Linked DNA regions of Canis lupus familiaris. The protein of the gene in region 2 purifies or fractionates together with the protein of the main gene of each other region. This does not show direct contact. Links are inferred from orthologs where the notes say so. Each region holds a gene or a part of one and is shown on either strand. Other genes may lie near its edges.

Region 1 (4,320 bases), on a different chromosome or scaffold from region 2:
GTGGTGAGGATGATCTCAGGGTAAGAAAGTGGGAAACTGCAAGGTACAGATGCATAGAAAGCTCTTGAACTACTCAAGTAAATGTGAATTACTCTTGAGCTCCCTGATCCTTCTTGGAGAAGATGATGCTGTGCAAGAAATGAAACACCAAAAGAACATCCCCAACAAGTATCATTCCCCTCTAACCTCTAACCGGGGGAGAACAGGAGGGTTAGAGGTTAAAGAGGGAATTAATTCCCTAGCTTGGTTAATACACGGAGAATTTAGAACAGTGCTTGGCACATAAGGAGCATTCGGTAAAAACACACATTCGGGGTGTTCTCTGCCGCGCTCCAGCTCCAGCTCGGGCTGCAGTGTTGACGTTCCAACAGGCTGTCCTCCTAGCCCTGGAAACACCGAGAGGCGCCTCCTCACATCAAATGAGACCATGCCTTTTCTTGGGGCTCAATTACAACCAGACTTCCGGTCATGAAATCCAGAGGTGCCCTCTTTTCCTGGAAACTCTAGTTTTGAGTATCCTAGCACAACAGGCATCCACATTTCCAAAAACCTAACCCTTCTTCAAATCCTTTGCCATTCGTTTCCCCAAGAATGAAAACGTGCGCCAAAGCTCTCAGACCCGAAGCCCCAGGACGCGGCAAGTGCCTTGCGTCCGGGCAGACCGGCGGCTGTGCGAGGGCAGGCTTCCCTCGCTCACCTGCATCCCGCCCGGTCGTGGGGAGACCTCGGGCCGAAGGGGAGTGCGCGAGGGGCACGGGCGCGGGGCCCCTCGACGCCTCCTGAGCGAGAAAAAAAGCGGCCGTCACGAACAGGATTCGAACCTGTGCGGGGGAAACCCCATTGGATTTCGAGTCCAACGCCTTAACCACTCGGCCACCGTGACTCCCCAGACCGCGCTCCGCCGCGCGCTTACAGGAGGGGCCGCGCCCCCGGGCCCCCCGCCTCCACGGCGCTCCGAGGACAGCCGGGCGGCCCCCGGAGGGCCCGGCGGACGGGGGTGGCCCTCCCCGGGAGGACGGGTCTCCCAGGCGCCGGCGAGGCCTGCGGGGGGCCAGCTGGGGGCAGCGGCCGGCCGGGGCGGCGGGGGGCGGCCGAGGGCTCCTCGGGTCACCGCGGCAGGGGGCTGGCCGGGCGTGGGGGGCTCGGGCGATGGGAGCAAGGCGCTTCCTGGGCAGGGGGCCGGGGTGCCCGGGCCGTGCGGGCTCGGGGACTGGGAGCGCGGGGCAGGGCCGGCCTGGCTCCCCGGAGGGCAGGGCCGGGGGGCCCTCCGGCGTCCGCTTGGGGCGGGTGGGCGGCCCCCCGCGCCCTGGGCTGAGAGGCCGCGGGAGGAGAGGCTTCGCGCCGGGGAGGCCGCGGGGGAGGCCGCCGGGGAGGCCGCCGGGTGCGCCCCGCGTCGGGAGCCGCGCCGCCGCCGTGGCCGAGCGGCCGGCAGGGGGCGCTGCGCGGGCCGGGCCGGCCCAGGCGGCGGCAGGCGGCGGCCGCGGCGGCGGGAGGCGGCGGGAGGCGGGCGGAGGAGGAGGCGGAGGAGGCGGGAGCTGAGCGGCGCGGGGCGGGCGGCGGCGGGCCCGAGCCCGAGAAGATGGCGGTGCGGAAGAAGGACGGCGGCCCCAACGTGAAGTACTACGAGGCCGCGGACACCGTGACCCAGTTCGACAACGTGAGGCTCTGGCTCGGCAAGAACTACAAGAAGGTACGCGGGCAGGGCCGCGCGGCCGGGGGCGGGACAAAGGCCGCGGCCGCCCGCGCCCCCCGCGGCCCCCGCGGCCCCCGCGGCCCCGTTTCTCGCCGCCGCGCGGCGAGTCCCGGCGCCGACCGCCCCCGCCCGGGGCCACAGCCCTGCGGGCCCTTCCGGGAGAGGCGGCGGGGGGCGGACGCGGCGCCGGATGCCCCCGGCCCAGCCCGCCCGCCGGAGCTGCCCCGAGCCGGGCCGGCGGCGCTGAGGCCTCCGCGGGCTTTGTGTCCGCCCGGGAGGCGGTGGGAGCGGGCGGGTAAACAGGCGCCGGGCAGGCCGGGCCCGCGGGCGGCAGCGCCCCCCCACCTGTCCCCGCCGCCCGCCCCACGGGAGCCGGGAGCTCGCAGCCCCGGGCACAGCCTCCTGCCACCTCACAATGGAGCCCCCGGCCGCTGGCCTCGCACCGCTCGGGTCCGGGGCGCCGGGCCCAGGACGCTGCTGCCTCAGCCCCCGTCCGCGCCTGCAGGTGACAAGCGGCTGAACAAAGGGCTCAGAAAGCCTTACCTGACTTTCCGTCGAACCTCCCCCGGCGCTGTCTTTGTCTCGGGGCCCGGCCGAGAGGGCCGTCCGCCCCGGCTGCGCCCGCGGACAGCTCGGCCTCCGCCCCGCGCCGCCCGGTGGGAGGCTCGCCGTCGGCCCGGCTCTTCCTGCCCAGCTCCGCAGCCTGTCAGGAGCTGCCGGGCGCTTAGGAGTCCGCCCCCCGGCCCGGCCGCGGCCCTTCCCCCGCGGCTCCTGACAACCAGCTGCCGGGCCGGGGGCGCCTGCACCCCAGCGCGAGGCCTCGGCTCCCAGGCCTCCACCTTTGACCTTCCGGAAGGTCCGGAAGGGAGATGAGCGGGGGCTTAGTCTCTGGCCGGGGGGCGGGGGGGGGGATGGGGGGGCTGACGGCCCTTTGTCGCTTACCCTCTGGTGCGAGGCGCTCTCTACATCTCCCACTGAGAGGAGCGCTGGTCTCTGTGACTAGGGTTGAGGAAGCAGGGGTCAAAAGGTAAAGAGAAAGTTAGCCTCCTGGCTCAGATTTAAATTAGAACAGGAGGCTAGGATACTAGGTAGCGGCACATGGAAATGCGTGAGAAGGCCCGGGGTTGCTTGTCTCAGATACTGTTTCCTCAGAAAGCATCAATGTTTTCTTGCTCTTCCTCACCAGGCTGGGTAGGAGCTGGTCCTTGCCCCCTCGAAGGCGTTTGTGCCCAGTTCCTAGCAGAAGCAGAAGGCCCGGCTGGCACTCTCCGTCTGTTTGGCGTGCCTCACTTCCTTGCACCTTTCTTGTTAGGCTATGTTGCAGGGGGAGTCTCGGCCTCCACAAAGTTACCCCCAAGAAATACACTGTGGTCTGGCTTAGAGCCTCAAAGATACTGCTTCCTTTGCCTGCATTTACTGAACCTTCAGGATCTTACCGCCCTCAGTGCTGTTGACTAGAAATCAGGATCCTACAACTAACAACCAGTTTCAGAACGTAGCTGACAAGTAGGAAGCCCCACTTGCCTCCAGCACCGGCTGCTGGCAGGCTGGGTTGGGGGCAGCAGAATTTCAGCTTCCGGTGAGGGGCTTAGATGCCTTCCCTTCTGCCATTTTCTTTATAGAAACTAGACATGTGGGGGAAGGAGACACTATTTTTTCCACCCCAGATGCTTCCAGGGCCCCTTGGGAAAAAATAAGGGAGATAGTGGACAGTTTGTCTGAGGTCTACTTCTCTTCCGTTTGCCTCTGTTTCCCCAGTATATACAAGCTGAACCACCTACCAACAAGTCCTTGTCTAGCCTGGTTGTACAGTTGCTACAGTTTCAGGAAGAAGTTTTTGGCAAACATGTCAGCAATGCGCCGCTCACTAAACTGCCGGTGAGTGCAAATGCAAGGGGATGAATCCTCCAAACTGGAGAGGGAACTGTGGGGTTTTTGTAAATCTCATACTTTTGGAGATGTGGGTAATTGCCTGTTATCCCCATTCCTGGTCAGGGCGTTACTGGCTTGCCTTGGTCCCCAATTTACTCCTCCCTTTGTCTTAGTAATACTTGGTGCAGCGAGGTGCACCTGACTGGCTGAGTCGCTGCAGTGTGCTACTCTTGATCTGGGGGTTGTGAATTTGGTGTTGCGTGTAGAGACTTCTTAAAATCTCTATTCTTCTTAAAAAAGAAAAAAAAACTTTATTCAACAGGTTATATGTCTGAGCTCGTACATGAAACTCTTGTGGCATGGTTGAAAGGGTACAAGATTGGGATTTGCATTGGCTTGTGTTCAAATCCTGGCTCTGCCACTTGGTATCTCTGTGATCTTGGGCAAGCCATTTAAACCTTTTAAGTGTCTGTTTTTCATCTCTAGATGGGAATAATATCTCTACCTTGTAGGGTTTCTGTAATGGTCAATGAGGTGACCCAGTAAGTACGTGGCACAAGATGGGGCTTTGTGAATACTGGTTTTTTTCTTTCCCCCTTCTTCCAGGCCACGTGATACTGTGGCATAAGGGTTAAAGAATTCCACCTTTGGGGGCACCTGGGTGGTTCAGTCGGTTGGGCCTCCCAACTCAATTTTGGCTGAGATCTCGAACTCAGGGCTATGGGATCAAGCCCTGCATGGGGCTCCGTGCTCAG
Region 2 (3,560 bases):
TGAGACCAGTAATAGTGAACACAACTCTCACATATCACTTACATAAAAAATGCATTTTGTTGTGAGATGTAAATTCTTTTTTTTTTTTTTAAGTTTATTAAGTAATCTCTACACCCATCCGGGGGCTCAGACTAAGAACCCCGAGATCAAGAGTCCCATGCTCTTCCAGCTGAGCCAGCCAGGCACCCCATAGAGATGTATTTCTTTCCTAATGAATTTGCATTACCTAGACTCATTTTATTTTAGGAGTAAACAAAAGGTAAGGAGGTAGGTGTTCTTCGATTATACCAATCTTGTAACCATTGTATTTTATGAGCCAGGGATATCACAAAGCATAAATCCTACAACTCATGCTGAAGCACTCCCCAGCTTCCCCCAGTTAGCTTCACTGGGCCACACAGTTTATTTTTGTGTCATTCTGAACCTAATGGTGTATTTGTTTGAATGCCACGTTCTTTTCTCAGCCTCCCATCTCATATTCTGCGGACAGCTCTAAATTAATATCCGGATACATCATGACAGACACTTGCCATTCTTTGTGACATTTTGTCATACCTTTACTTGTTCTCTGAGTTTATTAGATTTTTCAGGCTTACACACACACACACACACACACACACACACGTGCGCTTAACACTAGAATCAACTATTTATCAAGTAAATATTTTGTTAAAATTATTTTTGAAATGGTATCTTACGTAATAGTAATGTAATGTCAAAATGAACCTGGTAGCTACTGAGTCAGATTCCAGGCATGAAAACAGAATCTAAACCAGGTAGTCGAGAAGCGGGAATTTAATCGGAGGAAACAGCTGCAGAGGTGTTGGAAGAGTGCGAACCAGAGGACTGTGGGTAACTGGGTCGGAGGGGAACAGCCGCAGACAGCCGGCCTCTGGAGGAGGCAGGAGCCAGCTGCCCAGCGGGAGCTCGAGCCGGAGAAGGCGGCCTGCCCGGCGTTGCGGGCACCCTGGCGGCGGCCGCTGCCCGAGGCCCCGGCTCCGGGGAGATGAGCGCACAGGCTTCTCTGTTTCTCGGGACCGTGGCTCTCGCGGTCTGTGTCCACCTGGAGCCCCGTGGGCCCGGGATGCGGAGTCCGTGTGCGGAGCTATCAGGGCAGGGTGGCGAGGGGTGGCCCTGAGGGCAAGCAGGCGACACGCGCACAGTCACCAGCCTGCACCCGAGGTGACGCCGGTCCGCCCAGCTTTGAGCCGGGGGTTGTTAGGGACGCACCCGCCCGCAGCGGCTGCTGCTGGTGGGCTTCGGCCGGCTGGGTACCGGGTGCTCTCCGCGCGCAGCCCACACTCCGGGTCTCAACCTTCACTCTTTCCCCCAAACCCGGCTCCGTGCCACGCGCGCTGGGTGCCACCCTCAGGCTTGGGGGCGGCGGGGCCCCCGATGGCAGGGAACGCTCCCGCAGCAGCCCATGGGCCGGCCAGGCACCGAGTGGCGTGGACAGCCCGTGACCGTTACGCGTGGATTCACACGGCGGGGTGGCGGGCGTGCCCCTCCCGTGGGCCTCAGTGGGGTCCGCCTTACCTAGTGCTTCGTAGCCCTCACCCCCCCGCCCCCACTTTCCTCCTGGGCTCCGAGCGGGACGTGCCGGGGCTGGTGCGGCCCCCCCGGGAGCGCAGGGCCACCGCCATCTGGGACCGTGAGCGCAGCCAGGGCCTCCCAACACCTCGTGACATGGATACGAGAATCCGAGTCTTGTGTGATGTTCACACTCCTAGGCCTTTTGATCACGTGTCATCTCGGATCCACAGCCGAACGGACATGACAGCGACTGGGCTGGTGGGCCACAGGCCCCCCGCCGCTCCAGGTCTGGGGTGGCTTACCCCGCTTACTTGCCGTCATTCCCCTATCTGCGTTCCTAATTATAGAGCGCCTTTGCACCTTGCAGCCTGGGGAAACGGGAAGAATCTCCAGTCATATCAGAGCTAACATGGGTATTAATAGCCTGCCAGCTTTTGGGCGTCTGAGGGTTTTAAATTCAATGACACGGATTTTAGCAGTTATTTGACAAGAATGACTTAGAAGAAAATGTATTTGCGACCCTATACAATATTGCACTTATCAGTTGGGTGGATATGGAAATTATTCAGTATAACGTCTGTCTAACTTGCAATTTACAAAGTACTTTTCACACACATCTTGATCTTCACAATATCCTTGTGTACTAAGCCTAAAGGTTTTATTCCCCCTTTTTATAGATGGGGAAACCAGCATGAAAGGTTAAATGACTCGCTTGGGGTCCAGCGGTTAGGGAGTGGCCGACTGAAGCCCCCGTGCCCATCAAATACTCGAGGAATTTTAGAAATAAAAGGAAGTATGACATCACGTTTAAATGTTTACGAACGCGACGCTAAGGATCCAGTCCTGGTAACTCATGGAGCAAGCGCTCAGGAGCCCTCACCTCCTGTGTTACTTCCTTAGGCTGTGGCTCACATAGAGACACCCGAACTGAAATTTATTAGTGTTTGTGATATTTAGATCATCATTTTTAAAATTCAATTAGTATTTTAAAGATCATAAAGTAAGATGTTTAAGTTCCTATTAGCATACTGAAATGCCCAAGCGTGATTTAGAACTAAAGCTCCTAGATTTCAGTGCTTGTGGAATGAAGGCAAACCTGTAGCCCTTTTCCTTTTCAGCTCCGGCACTGGATGTTGATTGGCAGAGCAACAACACCTTTGCTTCTTGTAGTACAGATATGTGCATTCATGTCTGTAAATTAGGACAAGACAGACCTATCAAAACATTCCAGGGACACACGGTGAGTAACCTTCTTTTCGCCCTTGAAAGTGGTTATGATGACTAAGTGATACAGCAGGTGGCTTTCAGGGATGTGTGTTTAATGTCCAAAGAGCAACGCAGTCTGTACCGTGAAAATGTGACTGTGCCCTGTTCTCTTTAGAATGAAGTAAATGCTATCAAATGGGACCCAACTGGCAATCTTCTGGCCTCCTGTTCTGATGACATGACTTTGAAGGTAATTGAAACAGTGGGGTTGAAGTGGCAGTGGCCGTGTCCTGAAGAAGGGCTGCTCTGGCCATTTTTAGATTCTCGAGAGCATCTGTCCTAGCGTCCATTCGACGCCTTAACCGGGATCAGGATTCACTCTACTTTTTAATAGTCAATCGTTATTTATTTGTTTTGCTTAGTATTCCCAGTGTTTAGATATAGCAAAAAGAACGCTTGGTGGGAATTGTGGCACTAAGAAACATGCTGTCTGCACTTCTCGAAGGTCATATACTGGTGCGGTTCAAGTTCTATTTGCACGTGTGAAAATTTGACAAGTAACAGATCTTCGTCGCATTCATGGATTTTACCGAAATTCTGTGGATTGTGTTAATTTGATTCTGTGGTGTGAATATATATCATCCTTGCTGGGAAGCTGGGCTGTAGCACAGCATTGCTTAGTTGCTGAGTGGGTCTAGCTGACATGCCTGCATCCACAGCTCGACATGAATTTATGTTTTTCTTGTCAGTGTGACTAGAGACAAAACTACCACCTTGCATGTGTGCACCTCACATTTAGGAACAAAAAGCATTTTGAGATG
Region 3 (4,044 bases), on a different chromosome or scaffold from region 2:
AAGGTGTTGTAGAAATGCAGGTGAAAATTGATGGTGGTTGGGACCAGAGTGGTAGCAGTGGAACTGGGGAGAAGAATCCTAGTATATTCTAAAAGTAGAGCTGAGGGGATTTACTTAGGGATTGGATCTGTAGGATAAGAGAGAAAAAGAATCCAAGATAATTCTAAAAGTACATGATAGACTTTCAAACCATTCCCAGCATATCTTTGGATTCCAAGTCTGTGTCCTGATAATGACAAAATATATTTAATGAAGTCAAATAATACCTTACACAAATAGTTTATTAGTATGTAGATTGAATTCAGAGGGAACTGGGATCCAGGCTGAAGGCCCTGTCTCCGTTCAAGTAGTTAAATGGCTTTGATCTCAGATAAAAAGGTTGTGATTCAGCTTTAAAGTGTTATTATCATTTTATGCGCGCAGTTCATTCTCATCCTTGCAATATAAGGCGTACAGCTATAACGACATGAGAGCAAAGCGCAAGTTTTTAAGTACATAAACCTGTGCTCCCAGTCCTGCTCTTACTGACCTTTATAGTATATGCCCCAGTAACGTGCCACGTTTTTTTAAATTACAGGAGATTTAAATAAGTTGGGTGTCAAAGAAAGATGGGATAGCTTTTTCTTTTTTCCCCTGTAAGCCTCAGTAGTGGTGTCCAGGCTTTCATTATTTCCACCTCAGAAAAGGGACTGGTAACAAGCTGAGGCAAGCCCAGACTGCCTGGGAGCTGTACTTAAGTGCTATCCTTTTCTTCCCATATCAAAGGATTTTTAATGGTTTGGGTTCTGACACGAATGATGGGCGCTGGGAGAAAGTGAGCGAAGCCGGCCCCGGTCATTACCCACAGCCTACCGTCAGGTACCTCCGTGGGGGGGGAGGTGGTTACGTTCAGGCCGCACGGAGTCCCGGTTCCCGGGGGCGGGGAGGGGGCTGTTCCGTGGGTCTCCGCTGGGCTTTCGGTCGTTCTAGGGTCGGGACAGAGGGGGAGAGAGAGAGAGAGAGAGATCCGGCGGTCACGTGAGGCCCCCTGCCCGCGCCCGCCCCTCCAGGTGCCTCGGAGGCCGCGGGGCGCGTCTCCTCTGGCCTCGGCCCGGGCGGCCCACCCTCGAGGCCCCGAGGCCAGCGCCCTCCCGCGGGCACCGCAGCCCCCAGCCCGGCGGGCGGCGCGCTTGTCCTTGTTTGGCCACGCGGCAGCGGCGGTGTCGGCGCGTCCTCCCGGGCCGCCCCCCAGCGGGCGTCAGAGGGGGGCGGGCGCCCCGCGCGGTGACGGCGACGCCTGCGGCCGCCGGACTCTCCACTCAACGTCGCCCGAGAGGCCGGTGACCTCTTGGCCGCCCCCGCCTCGGAGGCTCAGATGGCTCAGGCCAAGATCAACGCGAAAGCCAACGAGGGGCGCTTCTGCCGCTCCTCCTCCATGGCGGACCGCTCCAGCCGCCTGCTGGAGAGCCTGGACCAGCTGGAGCTCAGGTGAGCGGCGCGGGCGGGCGGGCGGGCGGGCGGCAGGGCGGGGGGCGCGTGCGCGGCGGGCGGGCCGCGGCCGGAGAAGTTGCTCGCCTGAGATTTGTTCCCCGCGGGGACCGTGCGCTGCCGCCCGGCTCGGGGGGCCGCCGCCTCCGCGCCAGAGAAAGCGCGTTCGACCCAAGCGAGAGCCTGTGAGCGCGGGAAGGGTGGCCGCATTCTCCTGAACAGACCTGGGCTGTGGGGAACTGAGAGGATCACAGAAGGTAAGAGTTACGGTGGCGTTCTCTGAGGTTAGAGACCGTGACACCCCGTGACACCCCGGGTCTACTGAAGGTCTAGAATTTTCTGAGTGCCGCTATGTGGTTCCCCCCAGATGTCTCTAACTTCTCTTTTTCTACTACGCATCTGTAGGAAAGGCGATAGTTCAGGGGTTCCCCCCACCCCATGTGACTGATAAGTTTCTTTGCTCCAAAACACAGAGAGAGAGAAAAAAACAGTAAAAATCTAGAAATCTGTCTGAGAGCAAGAAGAGGGAGGAGTAGGACAGATGAGGGGCCGCGGGGTGAACGGCGGCTGGGCACTTGGTGGAGGAAGACCCTGCGGCTTCCATTTCCCCCCTAACCCCGCAAACTGAATTCAGAAATTCTGTTAGTTTCTCGCTATTTATTGTGTACCTCCTTCCTTAGAAGACACCTTCTCGAAAGTGCTAGTCATTGGCCTGAAAGCATAAGATAGGTTTTTTTTTTTTTTTTTACTCTTCCCCCTCCCCCCCTTAACTTAGGCTTGTATACAATTTCTAAATAACGAACAGCAAATTTTGGAAATTATTGTTTCCCTTAACAGCGTCTGAAAAAACTTTCACGTACTTCCTCTAAGAGTTTGTCACCAAAGTTACTGTGTAAATGGTGTGCAGGTGTAGATAAGTCAAAATCTTACTAAGACTCCACAAACCCCTGAGGCCATACCGATTCTTCCCCCCTCCTCCCCCCCCCCCCCCCGTAGTTTTCATCGGGTTCTGGGTGAGCAAGGAAGCACGTCAGCCAAAAATTTTAAGAAGCAGCGCGTGCATGTCTATCTCCCTCAATTTATATACCAAAGCAAGAAGAGGGGTTTATTTGCCAGGACAGTGCATTAATAACCACAATATATCTCAGCAGTTGAGGCATTTATGATTATTATTATTACCCTGAGAGAAGAGTCGGAAAATGAGAAATTCTCCATCCACAACGATTTTGTGGATGACAACAGATAGAGAAACCGCAGTCCAAAACCACCTTCTAGGGTTCTGCCCAGAATGACACATATGGAACCAGAGAAAAAGTAATGCTTCCCCTGGGTTGAGCTTGATGCATTTACTCCCCAGAGAAAGTGGAACAAAACTAGAGATCGGTGGCTTCAGCTACTTAATGTCGCCCCAAAGAATAATATTTCTTTTGGTGTAGCAGCACATTACAAGTAACTTACACATCTCCCCAGGTGTTTAGAACTTTGATGTGTTCCGAAGCATTTCAGGGCTCTCTTGGCACTATCAGAAAAGATTTTTTTCTGAAAGGAATGAGGAACGTTGCCCCTCCCTTCTTCAAGCTGAGTCATTCCCCTCAAACTTGAATGAACATCTCGTGTCTGATAGACACAAAAGCAGTCAGGTACTCATCTTTAAAAGAAGGCCTCTGGTTTTGAGTATTCGTATATTCTAATGTTTGATTAATGTAAAGTGAACTGATTATTATACCAGTGATTAGATTATGACTTGCTTAATTAACCCTTGAGCTGAGGAGGAAAGACTAAAATGTGCTAATTGCTCATTTTAAGGACTTCTTTAGTAGTTTTAAGACTTTTGTAAGCTTTGTTTCTTCCTTTAAAAAAAAAAAAAAAAAATGTAGGGCAGCCCAGGTGGCTCAGCGGTTTAGCGCCACCTTCAGCCCAGGGCCTGATCCTGGAGCCTCCGGATCAAGTCCCATGTCTGGTTCCCTGCTTGGAGCCTGCTTCTCCCTCTGCCTGTGTCTCTGCCTCTCCCTTTCTCTGTGTGTTTCTCATGAATACATAAATAAAATCTTTAAAAAATAAAATAAAAAAGTGAAATTGAGTTTTTAAAAAATAATTAAAATTTGTAAAAAGTAATTGTGATCTAAGGAAGTGTTTTAAAAGGTAGTAAAAATAGTAAAAATAAAGAAAAATACTAATGATCCGTTAAAGTTCCTTTGAAACTACATGGGCAGTGTCACAGAACCCCACATTGTTAAAAACTAGCATCATGCCTAGAAGCTTTGTAAAAGAAACAAATAGGTAATTTTGCTCTAATAGTTCAATTTCATATTAAGGATGACTCATAAAGCATTGTTTTAGGTAGAATAAAACACTGTAGTTTGATACTTAAAGTTTGCATATAGTTCCCCAACTGATTTTATCACTTGTGGTAGACCTTCTTCCATATGAGACTAAAGACAGAATTATGCTAAATGCTTTATGCCTAATGGTGGGCATGATTTTTTAATCACGTATGGCAGCATTCTATATTGTTGAAGGAATTCCATTTGTTTCTAATACTTTACCATGACACTAGCCTCTTTCTTGACTCCACCT

What was found. Proteins that work in one complex are often made in the same cells at the same time.
Region 1: the proteins of TBL1XR1 (region 2) and SMARCC2 fractionate together in Homo sapiens (co-fractionation; 3 studies listed by BioGRID, with this or other methods). This does not show direct contact. The link is inferred for Canis lupus familiaris from reciprocal best matches to the Homo sapiens genes TBL1XR1 and SMARCC2.
Region 3: the proteins of TBL1XR1 (region 2) and BAG2 purify together in Homo sapiens (affinity purification with mass spectrometry; 3 studies listed by BioGRID and IntAct, with this or other methods). This does not show direct contact. The link is inferred for Canis lupus familiaris from reciprocal best matches to the Homo sapiens genes TBL1XR1 and BAG2.

Annotation. Positions count from the first base shown.
Region 1 is NC_049231.1:853,924-858,243, reverse strand, and holds the start of SMARCC2 (SWI/SNF complex subunit SMARCC2), read left to right. Parts: upstream 1-1,515; 5' UTR 1,516-1,579; coding exon 1,580-1,690; intron 1,691-2,080; exon of another isoform or gene 2,081-2,108; coding exon of another isoform or gene 2,109-2,198; intron 2,199-2,436; exon of another isoform or gene 2,437-2,549; intron 2,550-3,451; coding exon 3,452-3,571; intron 3,572-4,320. UniProt on the Homo sapiens protein: Involved in transcriptional activation and repression of select genes by chromatin remodeling (alteration of DNA-nucleosome topology).
Region 2 is NC_049255.1:40,838,845-40,842,404, reverse strand, and holds part of TBL1XR1 (F-box-like/WD repeat-containing protein TBL1XR1), read left to right. Parts: intron 1-2,651; coding exon 2,652-2,773; intron 2,774-2,914; coding exon 2,915-2,989; intron 2,990-3,560. UniProt on the Homo sapiens protein: F-box-like protein involved in the recruitment of the ubiquitin/19S proteasome complex to nuclear receptor-regulated transcription units. Plays an essential role in transcription activation mediated by nuclear receptors.
Region 3 is NC_049233.1:24,621,763-24,625,806, forward strand, and holds the start of BAG2 (BAG family molecular chaperone regulator 2), read left to right. Parts: upstream 1-1,239; 5' UTR 1,240-1,354; coding exon 1,355-1,467; intron 1,468-4,044. UniProt on the Homo sapiens protein: Co-chaperone for HSP70 and HSC70 chaperone proteins. Acts as a nucleotide-exchange factor (NEF) promoting the release of ADP from the HSP70 and HSC70 proteins thereby triggering client/substrate protein release.